4 linked regions of the Caenorhabditis elegans genome follow. The protein of the gene in region 3 purifies or fractionates together with the protein of the main gene of each other region. This does not show direct contact. Each region holds a gene or a part of one and is shown on either strand. Other genes may lie near its edges.

What was found.
Region 1: the proteins of hpl-1 (region 3) and his-24 purify together in Caenorhabditis elegans (affinity purification with western blotting, with the first as the bait; one study listed by BioGRID). This does not show direct contact.
Region 2: the proteins of hpl-1 (region 3) and rcor-1 purify together in Caenorhabditis elegans (affinity purification with mass spectrometry, with the first as the bait; one study listed by BioGRID). This does not show direct contact.
Region 4: the proteins of hpl-1 (region 3) and T03D3.5 purify together in Caenorhabditis elegans (affinity purification with mass spectrometry, with the first as the bait; one study listed by BioGRID). This does not show direct contact.

Annotation. Positions count from the first base shown.
Region 1 is NC_003284.9:14,488,139-14,491,647, forward strand, and holds his-24 (Histone 24), read left to right. Parts: upstream 1-1,955; 5' UTR 1,956-2,000; coding exon 2,001-2,237; exon of another isoform or gene 2,238-2,340; coding exon 2,341-2,730; 3' UTR 2,731-2,981; downstream 2,982-3,509. UniProt on the Caenorhabditis elegans protein: Histones H1 are necessary for the condensation of nucleosome chains into higher-order structures. Probably does not act as global transcriptional repressor.
Region 2 is NC_003279.8:23,744-28,603, forward strand, and holds the start of rcor-1 (REST corepressor rcor-1), read right to left. Parts: upstream 3,039-4,860; 5' UTR 3,036-3,038; coding exon 2,990-3,035; intron 2,948-2,989; coding exon 2,847-2,947; intron 2,782-2,846; coding exon 2,628-2,781; intron 1,730-2,627; coding exon 1,530-1,729; intron 1,348-1,529; coding exon 1,186-1,347; intron 1,103-1,185; coding exon 908-1,102; intron 1-907. Other genes in the region: sesn-1 (Sestrin homolog), read right to left, coding at 4,537-4,662.
Region 3 is NC_003284.9:13,243,705-13,247,544, reverse strand, and holds hpl-1 (Chromobox protein homolog hpl-1), read right to left. Parts: upstream 2,156-3,840; 5' UTR 2,118-2,155; coding exon 2,025-2,117; intron 1,950-2,024; coding exon 1,866-1,949; intron 1,813-1,865; coding exon 1,723-1,812; intron 1,671-1,722; coding exon 1,468-1,670; intron 795-1,467; coding exon 710-794; 3' UTR 501-709; downstream 1-500. UniProt on the Caenorhabditis elegans protein: Seems to be involved in transcriptional silencing in heterochromatin-like complexes. Involved in epigenetic repression. Probably does not act as global transcriptional repressor. Plays a role in linking epigenetic regulation with the innate immune response.
Region 4 is NC_003283.11:2,823,265-2,828,687, forward strand, and holds T03D3.5 (CUE domain-containing protein), read right to left. Parts: upstream 3,572-5,423; 5' UTR 3,557-3,571; coding exon 3,417-3,556; intron 2,521-3,416; coding exon 2,370-2,520; intron 2,319-2,369; coding exon 2,133-2,318; intron 2,028-2,132; coding exon 1,867-2,027; intron 1,236-1,866; coding exon 842-1,235; 3' UTR 542-841; downstream 1-541.

The sequences.
Region 1 (3,509 bases), 1.2 Mb from region 3:
CCGTACATTTTTCCTGTAGATTCATATCGTACACTGTGATTAATGGTTCATTGTCGAGTGCTCCGATGCACCACACTGGCAGGTGCAATTGTAGAACAGACACATTCTGTTGATTGGCAGGGTGTAGTAAAATCGTGAATAGTGGTTTTGGCACAGTGCCAACTGTGGAGAATATTAAAAGAAGCACTCCGAATTTGAAAGAATGGCATGTGAAATGAGAAGTACAGAATTGTGAAAAGAGAAATCGTAATTGAAAAGACAGAAAAGTCAGTGGAAAGACGACAGCTTTATTGAAACGCCGTTGCTTGAAATTTGAAAAAAAAAACTTGGCCGATTTGTTAAAAATATTTTCACAGAGTTATAACAAACAATCAAACTTTTGCAGAAGAAACATTCTGAACAACTTTTCCACTTACCTAACACATACCTGGAATACAATTGAATTTGCAAATGTTATGATAAACACATCAAAACTAAATTAACAAGCAATAGAACACATTAAACTCAAAATATCTACAAATAAAATCACTATATTGCACTTAACAACTATTTAAAATATTTAAACAGTTTCAAAGTCCGTATGTCGTTCTAAAATCCATTATCTTTGGCACACCCTGATGTATCTAGGTCATCATGAAGTTTGATGCATCTGAGTATCCAATACAATAACAAAAACATTTTCCTAAATCTTTTAAAACATTTTTGAAACTAATTTTCTTGAGTCTCAGAATATTAGATGTTCAAACTCTACAAGGAAAAAAAAAGAACAAAAGCACAACAAATAAGCAAAAAACAATTGTTGAGTGGATAAATCCGTGATGAAGTTTCATATTTTTAATCATGATACTTTTACATATGACTTTTCGTATTTGATCTAATCAGTTTAAGAATATAAAAATGAATATCTTATTTCCTATCTAATTTCCTTGAGAAAACACAACCTTTAAACATCAAAACCGTATTTGAAAATGTTGACTCAGCTTCCTTTTTCAAAAAGATCGGCAAACAATTGACCATTCTTTAGGTAGAATCTCCACAATTATGCAATTTTAAAAACATCACATCTTCATATCAAATCCTGACTTAATATTACTAGACAAACCACTTGTTGTTGGCAGAAAACAACGAGGAAGTGTGGCAAAGTGTATAGCAAGTTGATTTGAAAAATGACTTAAATTCTGATTAAATCACTATAAAACCAATTAAAGTACTGTTAGAACAACTCTAATATGCTTGTTCAATAGTTTGGATAGCCAAACTTGAACCTTTTGCAGTTTCTAGTTGTCTGAAATGGCGTGTTCTTTGAACGACTGCTGGCGAAGGCGAAAACAACCCCCGTTTTCAAACATGACCGGCGGCATGAAAAGTGGTATATCTTGGGTTATAGCCGATGGATTTTCAATATTTTTAGGTTTCTGAACAGCCAAGCATTTTATCTTTCTAATTATATAATAAAAACTAACAGTTGCAACTGAAACTGGAGAGAAAAACGAAGTCAAAGTCAGAAGTTAGAGTTACATTTTCAGAAAACTCAAAATTTCAGTATGAAGATGCTTTGAGGAGGATAAGTATCTTATATATTCTTGTAGGAAAAGTGTCTGGCTACTCATTAAAACAATTTTCAACTCAATATCTCTTTATTGTTAAAAGATATCCGTGTTTGAAGAGAGTCAGGTCGTGTGAAAACCAATGCGTCGACTTCAGGGCCCAATTACTCGGTCATTTATAATCGTTTTCTCTCGAATTTTGAGCACAATGTAGATAATGTCTTCAGCTATCAGATGTTATCAGGAAATTTCATAAAAATTGATCCGGAGTATCCAAATTGTCAGCGCCCGACACCTCCTCCTTTCGAGACCTGCTATCTTATTCGGTGCAGTAAGGGAGAGGCGGGATGTGTCCCCGCAGGGTGGTAGAAATTGGGTATATAAGAGAACGAGAGGACTCGCACAGTCATCACTTTTCAAGTGTCACCCAACCAACCAAACCGCCGTCGAACGATGTCTGATTCCGCTGTTGTTGCCGCCGCTGTCGAGCCAAAGGTCCCAAAGGCTAAGGCCGCCAAGGCCGCCAAGCCAACCAAAGTTGCCAAGGCCAAGGCTCCAGTCGCTCACCCACCATACATCAACATGATCAAGGAGGCCATCAAGCAGCTCAAGGACCGCAAAGGAGCTTCCAAGCAGGCAATCCTCAAGTTCATCTCCCAAAACTACAAGCTCGGAGACAATGTCATCCAGGTAAATTTCAATTCATTATTATTCTTAGTCAAAACTTGCCAACAATTTCGAATAATTTTATCTCACAGTTCTTATTTCTTTAAACTTATAATTTTAATTTCAGATCAATGCTCATCTCCGTCAGGCTCTCAAGCGTGGTGTCACCAGCAAGGCCCTTGTTCAAGCCGCCGGATCCGGAGCCAACGGACGTTTCCGTGTGCCAGAGAAGGCCGCCGCCGCCAAGAAGCCAGCAGCAGCCAAGAAGCCAGCAGCAGCCAAGAAACCAGCAGCCGCCAAGAAAGCCACTGGAGAGAAGAAGGCAAAGAAGCCAGCCGCTGCCAAGCCAAAGAAGGCCGCCACCGGAGATAAGAAGGTCAAGAAGGCCAAGAGCCCAAAGAAGGTTGCCAAGCCAGCTGCCAAGAAGGTCGCCAAGTCTCCAGCCAAGAAGGCCGCTCCAAAGAAGATCGCCAAGCCAGCTGCCAAGAAGGCCGCCAAGCCAGCCGCCAAGGCCTAAATAATCTGCCTTTTCCCCTTCTAATATGTTCCTACCTCTGTCTTCTATCATCTAACTTATCGGATCTCCTCATTCCCAATCCCCAATGACACATAGAACTACGCTAGTGTCCTATGTTGTTTCCAATTTCTTCCCTGTAAGTTCTCCGTGTTCTTACAATCTTCATGCTGGTATAATTATTTATCTCATTCATCAAATTTGATAATTTGACGTTCAACGTCTTCAATAAACATTGTAAAATTTAAAACTGTGTTCGGCTTATTTTTTTTTCTTAAAATTTCAGATTTCACGGCTCTTTTCTTAGAATGGTTATGGGCGGAATTGAAATTTAGGCAAATCGAAAGTCACGTTGATCATTGTTGAGTTGGCTGACTGTTGGCGATGTGCCAACAGTGGTGTGATTAACAGAAAACTGTTGGCCGCGTGCCAACACTGCGCAATCGTGAAGTCGTCACACACCAATGCGCGGTGGGTGGCTGGGTGGCCGCTTCTTGAGAAAAAAGAGGAGAAGAAAATATTGTGTAAGAAGAGGAGGGCGTAAAGAGCGCAACAAAGACATGTTCGTTTTATAGAAGCGAATAGTCGATGAAGAAATTGAACGGGTTGGAAACAAAGAAAAGGGATTTCCGACAATTAAGGCAATATGGATTATTTCGGCAGGGAAAAGGGAATAGAGAGGTTTCTTTATATGGAATTTATTCTGGCAAATATATAATATCAAGTTATTCAAGAAAGAAATTGTAAAAAAATAATGTTTTTAAATTTATAGTCGAAGCGGT
Region 2 (4,860 bases), on a different chromosome or scaffold from region 3:
GATTTTAGAATCAGCATGCTTTTATTCATATTTTAGGATCTTTTTAAAAAATCTGGACCAACAGTTTTCGAAAAAATTTAATTTTTGTTCAGAAATGTGAATATTCACTAAATCGAAAAAAATAATTGCAAAATCCGTCAGCTGAACATTCAAAACTTATCAATTTGAAATCAGCATATTTCAGTGTATAATTAAAAAAGTTTCAAAAATTCTGAGACCAATTTTTATTGAGAAAAATAATTTTTCGCTCGAATTATTGAATTTTCACTAAATGCAAAAAACAGTAAACTTGGGCCCATGCTACAAGCCTGAATCTTTCAAATTAAGAACCAGCATGATTTTTTCAATATTCTAGGACGTTTAAAAAAAATCTGGACCAACAGTTTTTGAGGAACGTAATTTTTTATACAAAAATGTTCTGATTTTTCACTAAACTCAAAAAAATAGTCAAGTTGGGCCCATGCTGTACACCTAAATCATTAAAATTCAGAACCGCCATGTATTTTTTCTTACCAAAGGCTCTTTAAAAAAAATCTGGACCAACAGTTTTTGAGATATTTAGAAAAACAACTCACTTTTCGACGTTTTTCGCCTTTTCGTGGCTCACCCGGTTGATTTTTGCGGCGATTTGTGGTCTTTCGCTGAAAATATTATTTTTATTTCAATTATTAACGAAGAAAACAAGAAAAAACGACGAGAAAACATCAAAAAAACGCGAAAAAACATCGAAAAACCACCGCAACCTCATGAACAAAAAAAAAGCATTGCAGCCGCGGGACTAGTTTTCGCAACTTTCTAGGCCATGTCCCGTTCGCCGTGCCGTGTATTTGTTTAATTCCCTTTTTGGAAAAAGTCAACATATTTTTCTAACAAATCGTTTTTCTATTAATTTTTTTCTAAAACTCACAATCAACAGATCACTTTTTGCATTGCAATTCTCACAATATCCCGACGGAACCCTCTCCAAATGATTGACCTCTTTGAATAGTTCATCATAAGTGTCGGTTTCATTCAAATGCACATTAATCATTGTTTTATAGTTTTGCACTTTTTTCGTGTTGTAATAGTATTGGATAATGGAAGAAAGCGAGCGTTGGGGCATCTGCAAAAAATAATGAAATTTATTTTCTTTTTATGATTAAATTAAATTTTCAAAAATTCCCTTTTTTTGACATATGCACTTACAGCCGCATGAATCTTCTTGAACCGTTTTCCGAAATGAAAGAAGCAAGTGGAGAAAAGACTAATTTCTTCTGCCGTCCAATCATCATGAATTTCTTTTCTTCTCATCGCTTGAACCATCGCAGCGTCGAAATCATTTGACTGTTTGTTCAGAATGAACAGAGCCTGTAAAAGCAGTTAGTTTTTTTTTCAAATTCAAAGTACATTTCCGAAAAATAAAAAAAAGGCTTGATTTTTTAAAATCTCGAATTTTTATTATGGTCAATTGTTATTTTTTCCAGAGAAAAACTCATTTTCTCCCAATTTTCAGACGTTTCTCTCTAAATTTGGTGTTTTTCCAATCGTACCCTATCTATAGGTAATTGATATCGTCCAGTAGCTTCTGAAATGTATTCTGTAAGCCGATTCTCGTTCATTTCGTCTGGAAACGCCCAAATTTGTTGATCTCTGCACGGTTCTTTTTCCAATTGCTCTGCAGTTGGCTGTATAATCGCCTGATATTCGGTTCCCACGTGGATTAGATTGTCGACGTTGGAAAGTGGATTTGCTGGAAGAAATTGGGAATTTTTCAAGGTTTTAAGTGGATTTTCAAGCTATTTATAAAAGCATGAAAAAGCTCAGAAATGACTATAAAACCTTTTTTTACGTCGTATTTTTTTCAATGAAATTACCTACTTTTAATTAATTGTTCGGCTTAAAACCAGAAAATTGTTTCATATCGATTTTCCCGGTGAAAATCGAAGGAATCGTCGCATTCTCAAAGTTTTTTCACCGATTTGTTTCAATTTTAGCACAACTAAATGGAAAAATCACAAAAATTCCATTACAGCCGATTTTCGTGAATTTTCCTACATTTCGAACTAAAAATTGTCCTTTCTTCTGTTTAAACCGGAAATTCTCTTTTGAAAAACCAATGAAAATTTGAATTTTCTGGGCTTTTCTTCGGAAAATTATTCTCGAAATTTATCAATCGATCCTTGGGCTTTTTTTGTTCCGCAGAGGCTGGCGGAGTTTACAAGCGTACGAAGTGGTTCAACTTTTATATAAAGCTTTATAAATGGGACATAGATGAATATTTCGAATGCTAAATGCAAAAAGAATCAGTAAAAAAGCGCGCAGCCCCGTCCTTCTCTGACGAAAAACGCCGTTTAAGGATCGATTGCTAAATTTTGGCAGTAGTTAGAAGTGTCAAAATTTCTGCCGGAGAGTCGTCAAATTTCACTGAAACGTAACCCGGTAATTTCCACAATTAATGGTCGATTTTTCGCAAAAAGTGGTATGTTTGTCAGGATTTATTAGAAATTGTGGCTGTCCAGATTTTAAAGAGTATTTTTGGGCAAAAATGTCGAATTTTCTCTGAAAAAGTTCGATTTTTATCGAAAATTCAGATTTTTTAGATAGTTTTCATCGATTTTCCCAGTTTTCAGCCTGAGAACTTTACTAACAGAAAGATGTGTCATGAGCACCACTTTCATGATGCTCACGAGCTTCAGCTTCTTCATCTTCGTCCTCTTCATCCTCCAAATCTTCATCCTCATCGCCCATTGATTCCCCAGACGTTGTTTCGCGTTTTCTCATGGATCTTATAGGACGAGCCATCTGAAGTTTCAATTTTAGCTTTTAAATTCAATTTTACCGCTTAAAAATCGATAATTCTCCCGTACTCTGCTGGTTTCTTCTTCTTGTTCCGCCTGCTCCTCTGGATCATCTTCCTCCATTGGCTCCGGCGATGCATTCAACATATTCAAGCCTTCGTCTGAAATATCTGGCCAATTTATAGAAAAACCGACAAAATAATAAGCCTCACTTTCTTTTCGAGAGGCGTCTTCGTCAGATGACGTGTACGAATCCATTTTCTGGAATTTGAGGATTTTTGAATGTTTTTAAACAAACTTTATAGAGAAAACATTCGAAACACTAGAAGTTATGTTGAAACACGAGAAAATTTTTTAAAAATCCATGAGAAAAACAGTTTTGAAAAATCTGTTTTTGGAGGCTCTCCGGATTTTGAGGAATCGTCACCCCGGAGACGCAGATTCTCCGGTAATTTTTCATTCATATTTGAGTTTAAGAACAAAACAGTTTAAAAAAATGTTTTTAGTATTTGAATGAAACTTATAATGTATTTTTTCTTCCATTAAAACTTAAAAAAAACTACAAAATTATTATGAATCAAATTTGAAACCGTGAATCAATCTCCGCGGAAGGGCGAGTCTATACTGCTGCAAGCGCACTCTATCGCAAATGTACAATTGGCGGTTTTTCAAACAGGAATTAATCGGATTCTCGTAGTTTATTTTGGATTTCTTTTTTCGGGAACATATTGGTGTTTTTGCGTTCAATATTCAAATTTAGAGGAAAACTGCTTCAAATATTTAGGTAAACTCTTGAAACCGCTGAAAATAGGCAAAAATAATTATTTTTGTATTTTTTAGGCTACTTTCTATACTTTTGCGTAAATACTATAGTTTTTCTATAAAACACCCATTAAAATTATTTTTATAAAATGATTTTTCCAATAAAAATAAAATGCGCAAAATGATTCTTTTCCAGAATCCTATATGCGCCTTTAAAATCTCTCGGATTACTGTAGTTTCAAAGAAATTATCCTTTATATTTTTAATTTTAAATTTTTTCCTGAATGTCAAATATTAGGGGAAAAATTATAATAATATGTGCTTTATTCATATGAGTGTAGAATTAGTGAAAAAGAAAAAAAACATGTATGGACTGTAAAATTGGAATTTTAGCGAGAAAATAAAAATAATATGCAGAAAAAATTAAAATTTTCAGGAAAAAAGTCAGTAAAGCCATCAAAAACTACTCGATTTTGAAGGAAATCAGCAAGAAAAATTAGAAAAAAGTATTTTTAAGTTGGAAAACCCCTGCTTGAATTTGTACACTAAATTGGGCATAAAAGCGTACAAATTCGCAAAAACCGGTAAAAATCTGGGGATCGTGATGGATGGAGTGTTTTGTGAAAAAATGCAGCGAAAAATTGAGTAGACAATTTCAAAAATGTCGATTTTTGAAATTTGTGACGAAAAAATTGAACAAAAACTGTTTTTTTTTGGAATTTTCAACAAGAAGTTTTATAAATTTTTTTGTTTAAAATTTTGAATATTATATGAGTTTGGTTTCACTTAACAGAACAATTCGAACAAAAGTATTCTAGAAAGGAAATGTGCGCTCCAGCACACTATTTGCCCGTGGAGCGCACTTGTGTGCACGAACGCTAGCGAGAATGTGTGGTAGAAAGGGAGGGAATAGGAAATATTAACAAAATTGGGCAAAATATGTAAGATTCGGAGAAAGAATTGGAGAAAAATATGTATTTCGAGCTCCGCGAGCTGATCAATCCAAAGGCTTTCTCCATCCTTTTTTCGAGAGGCACATTGCATTATAGTTACACACAGCACGTGTATAATGGAACATTGAAGCCTGGAAACGAGCCATCGCTACCATCATTACCACGTGGATCTGAAAAAATTAAAGTTTGATGATTCGAAAATTTTCTGGAAAAGTTATGATTGTGAGATAAATTGAATTCTTTGAAAAATCAAAATTCAAAAGCTTGTAGAAAATTTTATATATTTTTTTAAGCGTATTTTTTCCGTATACATTTCCAAATTTTTTTGTTACCCAATTTTAAAGATTTTCTTGAATTTTAAAATTTCT
Region 3 (3,840 bases):
TGTTCTGACAAAAACAGGTTTGCAAAATTTAGGCTTCATAAAATCAGTTTTTTAAAAATGTGAAAAATCTGATAAGTCAATTCAAACAAAATTTTTTTTTCAAACGGACAAAGAACTGTGTTTATATTTTTAATGTGCTCTAATAATTATATGATCAAACGGTTCTAATAAACAATTTAAACTTTTCAGGAAATGTTGCGCTTTCAGACAACTAGCCAATTTACAAGACAACGTCAGATTATCAGAAAGGTTTGTTTTAGAAGCAAAATTATGAGTTGTTAAAAACTGAACAAAATTCTTAAAGAAATACTTTCGTTGTAAAACACGTTGTAGCGTGGTCATTATTGACTATTTCGGTATTAATGTATCAACCTGTCACATTTTTGCATCCCAGCACGTGATGAGAAGATAGAAACTACATCTTTCTTTTCTGATACGGTAACATAAAATCAGAAGAATGTGCGTTTTCGTTTATCTGGTAAAGGATTGTTTCTAAAGCAAATATTTAAATAATTTATTAAAGGAAAAAACAAAATGATGTGAAAAAATTTAATATAAAAAGTTCAAAAATTTGTTAAGAAAAATGGGAAGCGAACAAAGAGTAAGTCCTTCATCAACGAAATCTCAGCGAGAAAATTCACGAAACGTACTGAGAGAACAATCAAATTATGGGAAGGGGAGAGGGTGCGATATAATTTTTGAAATTAAATTAGCTCATTCCTCCTGGGATGGTTGGCGAAACTCCTTGAAGAACAAGACGGGTTTCGTAGAATTTGATGACTTGACTTGGAAAACTGAAAATCACACTTTATTGAAAACTAATATTTTTGATGACTTTGCAGTAGCGATATTTTAAAAAGTTTTGAATATTGCAAGAAATCCCTTGCGACTTGTGAATAGCGCCAACTTAGGTTCTTTGGGGCGAGTTACTTTGCCGTGACAAATGTTTTATCTTGACTCAACTTATTACAGTATCACACTACGTTCAAGGCAAGTTTTTCTAATGCCTTTTAAGTGTACGAGAAGCACTTTCTTAGATGTTAACTACATCATGAAATTCGAGGTTTCATATTTTCCATTTATAAAAATAACCTATTATTTTTGGCTGTTCTGCTAGCACGTATTGAAGGCCGAATTTGCTCGTTCCGCAGAGCTTCATGAATTTTAGGATGCATTTATATACTTTAACAGTACGTTAAAGAGTCGATTGTGAGCATTTTTAGATTTTTTGATTTGCTTTAAACTTATAGTATTGCCCTGTTTATTTTCTGTCAAATACCAGAAAAAAACAAAAATTTAATAAACATGAAAAATCCAGGCTTGCAGGAATATTAAGCTTTCGACTTTCACCATATTTTTCAATTTTGTAACATTCTAAATCTTTTTCAGACTCTTTCAAATCCGAATTATTTTTTGTCGCTAATTTTAGAGGGAAAAACTAAAATTTTTATAAACGATAATATTTACCGAACATTGGCTTCTCTCAATGGAATCAAATGCACAGAGTCGTCGCTGAACTTGCACAAGAAATGCAGTTCTCCGGGTGCCTTGGTGATTCCAATAATTGTCTTCAGTGTTTTCCCAGCCCATTCATCGCTGGTAGATGGTTGGAGCTCTGCAGAAGACGAAGTCGACGGTTGTGGGGAATATCGACGTTTGCGTGTTGTGCGCTGCAATTTTGTTACTATGTATTTTCATCTCAATAAATTTGAAAAATCTCACCTTTGCCGCTTCCTTCTCGTATTCCTGAATCATCCTATCGCACTGGAGGTTCTCAATTGGCTCCCAACTGCACTCGGACTCTGGGAATCCCTGAAGCACAAATTATTGTTCAAATAACATTTTAAGGACGAAAATGTACGAACCTGCCATTTTATATAGTACTCGCTTCCGCCACGCGTCAACCGTTTATTCAACACTTTTTCCACCACGAAGACGTTGCTGGAGGACTAGAAATATATTTTTCACATTAATATTGCCGATCCTTCAATTTTTTCTCGATTTTAAATTTAAAAAAAACTCACTTCCTGAAACAACGGAGCATCTTGTGCCTGCTGAGCTTCCCGAGCTCTGAGTGAATTCCCGCGAGTGCTTCGGACAGGGTTTTGACGTGACATTTTGGCGAAAAACCACCTGAAACCAAAAATCGATAGTGGAAAAAAAACAAGAGGAGACGAGAGTGAGAGAGTGTGCCGCACTGCAGACTAAACGCGTACAGCGCACGGAAAAAAGCGGGAGACATAGGCCCGGGTTTTCAACAAGTCTTTCGATTTGAAAATGGAAGAGTGACCGTGAAAAGGTGCAAACCTATGTCGGCGGCCACTGTCGACAAAAACAAATTTTTTTATTTCATCTTGCTTAGCCTCTCTTGTATTTAAAGAGATGCCGGAAGTCGAATTTGCACTCTTTCACGGTCACTGTTCCATTTTCTAAAATAATTTGTATTTGAAACTCAAAGTTGATTTTCTTCTATATTTTTCTATTATTTCAAAAAAAACCAGACCATCTGAAGTTTTCACAGTCACTTTTTTTAATTGTGCGCAGATTCTTAATGAAACAGGCTAAAAAGTAACATTTGAATTGACTTTCGTGCAATTTTCCTGGAAATCATACAACAATCAATACAACAACGATCATAAACTGCGAACATTTGTAGATAAAATGTTTCATTAAGAAACATATGGATACAAACTTTGAGAAGAGAGGGGTTTGAGAAGAAAAAAATCATCTAAAAAAACGTGAGAATCTGGAAGCTCATCTGCGATTGCCCTTGTTTCGAAAATTACAAACCTTTAGCCCATGTTCCAAAATACATAAATAAGTTACTGACATATTTAACCACTTGAAAACGTGAAAATCTGATAGCTCACACTTAATGAGCCGTATCCCCAAAGTTGAAGACTTATAGCTTGATTTACAAGCTAAATTAATTCGTGGCCTATTTATTACCGTGAAAGTGTGAAAATGTGAAAAGTCAAATTCAATTACCCTTAACTTCAAAGATAGACCCATACGGCTCAAGATGCAAAATAATTTGGGTCGTGACCTATATAATTGAATGAAAACGTGAAAATCTGAAAGCTCGTACTCAATTACCCATAGCTTCAAAGTTAAATCCATATAGCTTAATTCTCAAAATAATTTGGGTCATGACCTATATAATCAAGTGAAAATCTGAAAATCTGAAAGCTCATACTCAATTACCCATAGCTTCAAAGTTAAATCCATATAGCTTAATTCTCAAAATAATTTGGGTCATGACCTATATAATCAAGTGAAAATCTGAAAATCTGAAAGCTCATACTTGATTACCCATAGCTTCAAAGTTAAATCCATATAGCTTAATTCTCAAAATAATTTGGGTCGTGACCTATATAATAAAGTAAGAATGTGAAAATCGGAAAGCTCATATTCGATTACCCATAGCTCCAAAGTTACAGCCGTGTAGCTCAATTTTCAAAATAATTTGGGTCGTGACCTATAAAATCAAGTAAAAATCTGAAAATCTGAAAGCTCATACTTGATTACCCATGGCTCCAAAGTTACAGCCGTGTAGCTCACCTTTCAAAATAATTTGGGTCGTGACCTATATTGTCAAGTGAAAATGTGAAAATCTGAAAGCTCATACTTGATTACCCATAGTTCCAAAGTTACAGCCGTGTAGCTCACCTTTCAAAATAATTTGGGTCGTGACCTATATTGTCAAGTGAAAATGTGAAAATCTGAAAGCTCATACATGATTACCCATAGTTCCAAAGTTACAGCCGTGTAGCTCAATTTTCAAAATAATTTGGGTCGTGACCTATATAATAAAGTAAGAATGTGAAAATCTGAAAGCTC
Region 4 (5,423 bases), on a different chromosome or scaffold from region 3:
AAAGAAAAAATATTTCTGATCATTTTGTTAGTTGGACATTTGTTTTCCAGATGTGTATTTTTTGAGATACGCCAGTTTGAAAATACTCAGTTCAGAGAGTTTTGGAGGTTATTTCATTTTTAGATCGAAAGCCACACCATCAACTCCAGTGCATCCTTGTCTGACATGTCTGATACTACGGCGTCATGTTCCTATATGCTCAAAAGCAGAAAACAAGTGATTAACTCCGACTCCAAATGAATTTCTTATGTAAAATTTCATTGTTATTGATTTTACGTTCGAATCAGTCCTATCAAAATTAATATAAATTAAAACATGACTCAGCTACTACTAATTGTTGCCCGAACTGTTGTGTACAGATTGAAAGATTGTAAATATGTATACCCTTTGAATGAATGAACAAATTGAGTAGATTTGCCTTTGATATAGTGCAAGGGTGAGCAAGGGTAGGCAATGAGAACAGGTGGTCAATGATTTTGGAGTCAATAAGTATTTGCCGTACCGTATGTCTTATATTTTGTCGAATCCAATCTCCCAAATTAAAAGAAAACAACTTTATCTTCAAACTACTAAAAGAATGCATTGATATTATGATATCATATAAAATTTTCAAAGAAAAACAAATTTCAAGAAATAAGAATAAAGCAAGAATGGGAGAGGCAGAAGTACATCAAAATTATAGAATAATTTAGACCAGCACGGGAGAAAAATAGAACACAGAAATGGAGAAAGAACGGAAACTGGCAAAAAACAAAAATATCCTGTTTGTAGAAGGGGGACCCAGTAAAATTTTTAGACAAAATTTGAGCATTAATTAAAAAAACAATCAAAGATTTAGGGATTATTCAAAAGGAACACGTGGCTTGCGAACTCTTTCCGGATAGTCCTTCTTTTCACCGCCTCGCAGCTCCTCGATTGATCGCTTTTTGTAGACTTTCCTTGGCGGTTTAGCTTCAGAGTTGCTCGGCGATGGAAAGTTCTTCGGAACCACTAGTCGGAATTGTTTGATCGCTGAGCCCTCATTGATCGGAAGAAGCTGATATTTCCAATCAGTGAACATTTGGGTCGAGATTTTTGAATTTTCTGGAGAAGGATCTTCCGATTTTGTTTCAATATTATTGTTCAACGCTGGACTCGCCGGGACGTCATCCTTCTCCTTGGATCCTCCGATTCGCTTCCTGTGTCCAGTTTTCTTGGGCCGGATTTTTTGATTTTTCTTCTTCGGTGGAGTTTGGCTACAAAAATAGGTATTTAATTTATTTTAAATATAACTGTTAAACCTTGTCAAACGTTTTCTCACCATTTTTTGAACTTTGATTTTATTTGTTTTTATGGGATTTTTCGACCTGACTGTCCCATAATTTATAATTAATATTACTTTTTGGCTGAAAAAAAATTTTCAAAAATTGCCTTAAATTATATAGAAAATAGTTTGCTATGAGTGAATAACTGTTCAAAAAATTAATAATTTTTTCTGAATTTTTCATAAGGTTTAGGCTAACGATTAGGCTTGGGCTTGGGCTTAGGCTTAAGCTTTGGCTTAGGCTGAGATGGGGGAGGGAAAGAGATATTCCCAGAAATTCCTAAATATTCAGAAAAAAAAAATAAACATAAATATTTGAAAGCGATAAAAAATAAGGAAAACGAGATATTCCTAACTATATGTCGGGTCAAAAAATCCGTCAAAAACGGCAGAAAAGGTATCAAAATTTACCTGATTTTTGATGGAAAATATTAGAAAAAAAGACTACTATACTGCTAACTTTTGGTAATTTTTAGTTTAAAAAATACTGGAAATTTTATTATAATTTTTTCCTAATTTCCAAAATCCCAAAAAAACATTTGGTATAGAGAACCAAATCTAACCGAATAATGCTGATATTGCTCGACTTCATTTTCTCTTCACGTGCTTTCAGCTCCTCTTTTGTCGGAAAATCTGGATGCTCAAGTCGCCAATTTCCACCAATCCCATTCTTCTCGCTGTAGTAGAAATCGACAAGCGTTTTGGTGTCCACGGATTTTTTGAGCTGAAAAATTTCAAATTTCAAATTTCAAATTTTAAGAATCAAAAAAATTTCAAATTTTGAGAATCAAAAAAATTTCAAATTTTAAGAATCAATGTAAGTACTGACCATTTTCGAGAGATAAAACTTTTTGAACGGTTTATTCTTCATTGCCCTCGCCTCCCGCTCAATCGGAATATTTGCCACGAACATGTCCTTCACCGCATCTGACATCAAATCGGGAGCAGCCATCTCTTGAGCCATAGCTATAGTCGCATCAACATCATAGTTGCAGCTTGCCAAAACTTTCAGAACCTGAAAATTTCGAATTAAGCTTTCCAGAAAAATTAGGGAAAAAGCGCTCACTATGTCAAATGACAAGTGCGTTGTTTCCTGTTTGAGCCGGCTCTCGTCCTGCTGGGAAAGTGTAGTGTGCAATGGGAATACGTATGGTGCATCGCAATCGTCGTCTTGAAAAGGTTTTCTAATCTCGAAATCCGGAATGTCCGCGCAACCACTAGAAAAAAGGATAAGTGAAAATTACTTTTTTTGAATTTCGAGCGAAAACATTTGTTCTTTTTTCTCCCCCGGCGCCGCCTAAACCTAAGCCTAAGTTTAAGTCTAAGCTTGAGCCTAAGCCTAATAATAAGCCTAAGCTAACACCTAGGTCTAGGTCTAAGCCTAAGCCTAGACCCAAGCCTAGACCTACGCCTAAGCGTAGGTATAAGCCAGGCCTATGCCTAAACGAATGCTTAAGCTCAAACCTAGGCTTCAGCCCAAGCCTAAGCCTAGGTCTAAGCCTAAGCCAAAGCCGAAGCCGAAGCTTAAACCTAAGCCTAGGCTTAAGCCTATGCCTAAGCCTAAGTTTAAACCTAGGCCTCAGCCCAAGCCTAAGTCTAGGTCTAAGCCTAAGCCAAAGCCGAAGCTTAAGCCTAAGCCTAGGCTTATACCTAAGCCTATGCGTAAGCCTAAACCTAAGCCCAAGCTTAAGCTCAAGCCTGAGCTTAAGGATCGGCCTAAACCTAGGCCTAAACCTAAGCCTTAGCCTAAGCCTAAGCCTAAGAATAGGCCTAAGCCCAAGCTTAAGCCCCAGCCTGAGCCTAAGAATAGGCCTAAACCTAAGTGGCCGAGTTTTTTGAAAAGTTTTTTTAAATTAACTTTAAGTTTCCTAACTGTTTTGTTAAATTCAAAAATTAATAAAATTACAAAAAAATTTTAATCCAAAAAAATTTAATTTTTATGAAAATTTTCTTTAAAAGTCTATTTTATTCAGAAATTAATTTTTTAAAATTTACAATAAAATTATTATACTTGATAAATTTAGAAACCTGAATAAATAAATATTTTAATGAATTTTCCCAAAAATATTCGAATTTTCAAGATTATTTTTTGTAAACTTTAATTCTAACCCACCTTGGCTTGTGGCTCAAGTGATACGAGGTGTCTTTGTTCCATTTTGACCATTTTCTCAAATATCTGAATTTTCGTTCTTCTTTTACAGGCTCAGCCACGTTGTCATTCGCATTATCAGCAACTTTCGGCATTATTTCCATTTTTTGTCGCTAAAATTTTTTGAAATTTAGAAATTATGAATTGTCTCAATTTTCTCAACCTATTACTCAAAAAAACGGGCGAAAAAAACGCGGTAAAAGCTTAAAATTCGACGAAAATCCAAGTATTCTGAAAAAAAATGAACAGGCACGCGAGAGAGTGTGCGCAGTGTGGTGAACGGTGTGCAAGAGCGTGGGGAATGAGGAGACGCAGACACAAAAACAGACACACACTTTGAAAGCGGTTGTGAGAAGGGGGACGAAATGAGGAGGGAGAAGAAATGAGAAAACAAAATCTTTGAATATTTGTTGAAACATTGAAATTTTGATGATAATTCAAATTCAATTTTGCGGGAAAATAATTGTGGCTCACAGGCAAAAATCGATAATAGGATTTTTTTTGTTAATGATCAAAATGTGTTCCTCAGCCCAAAATATCTGACAATCCATGTGAGACCTGCGAGTTAAATTTATGTGGAGACATTTAACAGATGCTAGGAAAAAAAAATGTTTTTTAAATGTAAAGGTGTGACAGAAAACGTTCTCAAATATATTATAACAGTAAAAATTTATTAAAAAATTTTAATGATTAAAAGTTTTTTTTTTTAAAAGACCGAATTATTTGTAAATTTCTGAAACATCGGTTGTCATATTTTCTGACGTTTTTATTAACAAAACTTGATAACTGGTAAAAAATGCACTAAAACTTCAAATTTCAACACTTTTTGCAAAAAAAAAATGTGATAAGTTATGTTTAACATTGCAAAACAAAATAATAACTTATTACCCAAAAACATGAAGATCACGCGTGAATTCAAAATTAAAAAAATAATTCCAGCCACTTGATTTTTTTTTGCAAAATTAGAAAAATATTAAATTTAGATAATTTTTTTAAATTTTTTTAAGAGTCATATTTGGTGCATTTTCGATCATTCAAGGAGCTTGAACGAAAAACAGTTTGAAAAAATAATTTATTTTAATAAAAACATCTTATGTGTTAAACACAATTGTGAAACATTGTACAATACGGGTGAGGAAAACAGAAATGACGAAATCATTAGATTAAACACAATAGGCGGTCCCCGCTGCACATTTTCTCATTGCCCACAACTTGGTACATTATTCCAGGTGCACATTAGATCGATCACTTAGCCATCTACCAAGTTTGTACAGAACATGTGTTACGTACATATCTAATATACAACTAACGGAAACCTGTAATGAAAAATTTAAAAAGTCCAATTTGAATTACTGAAGACAGATCCAATATACCGAAAATAATTGTGAAAATAAATTTAAAACTTTTTCTAAATAAAATTTTTTTTTCAATTTTACAACAAAAAAAAGCTAGCAAAATCATAATTATTTTCGACTTTCCGGCTAAATTATATATCTAGTTTTGTTTCATTTGATTTGAAATATTCATCAAAACAGATAGCTGAAACTCTGAAATTGGCATGTGGAAAATTTACATTTATTAAAATTTGAAAAATGAAAGTTTCTGAAAATTAAAAAACGGTGATTCACGTTTTATTTTAATTGAATCATTTGAAAAAATCAAAAAATTTAGCTAGAAAACATAAAAATGTAAAAAAAAAGAAAGAAAAAAAAAAAAATAAAATTCGGGAAAATTAATAACCGTTTTTTACACTTTTATATTTTTACATATTTGGTCGAAGTTTAAGCCAATTTTTCAGTTTTAGTGAATTTATTACGGAATTTATTTCTTTTTCAGAATTTCTTTTATTATAGTTTTCACATCTGCATATTTCCGTCACCAGACTAAACTCATCATTGACGAGTTCTCTACATTAGTACATGTATAGTATACTGGCTTTTATCTTATTAGTGCATCTAATTCATTATACGG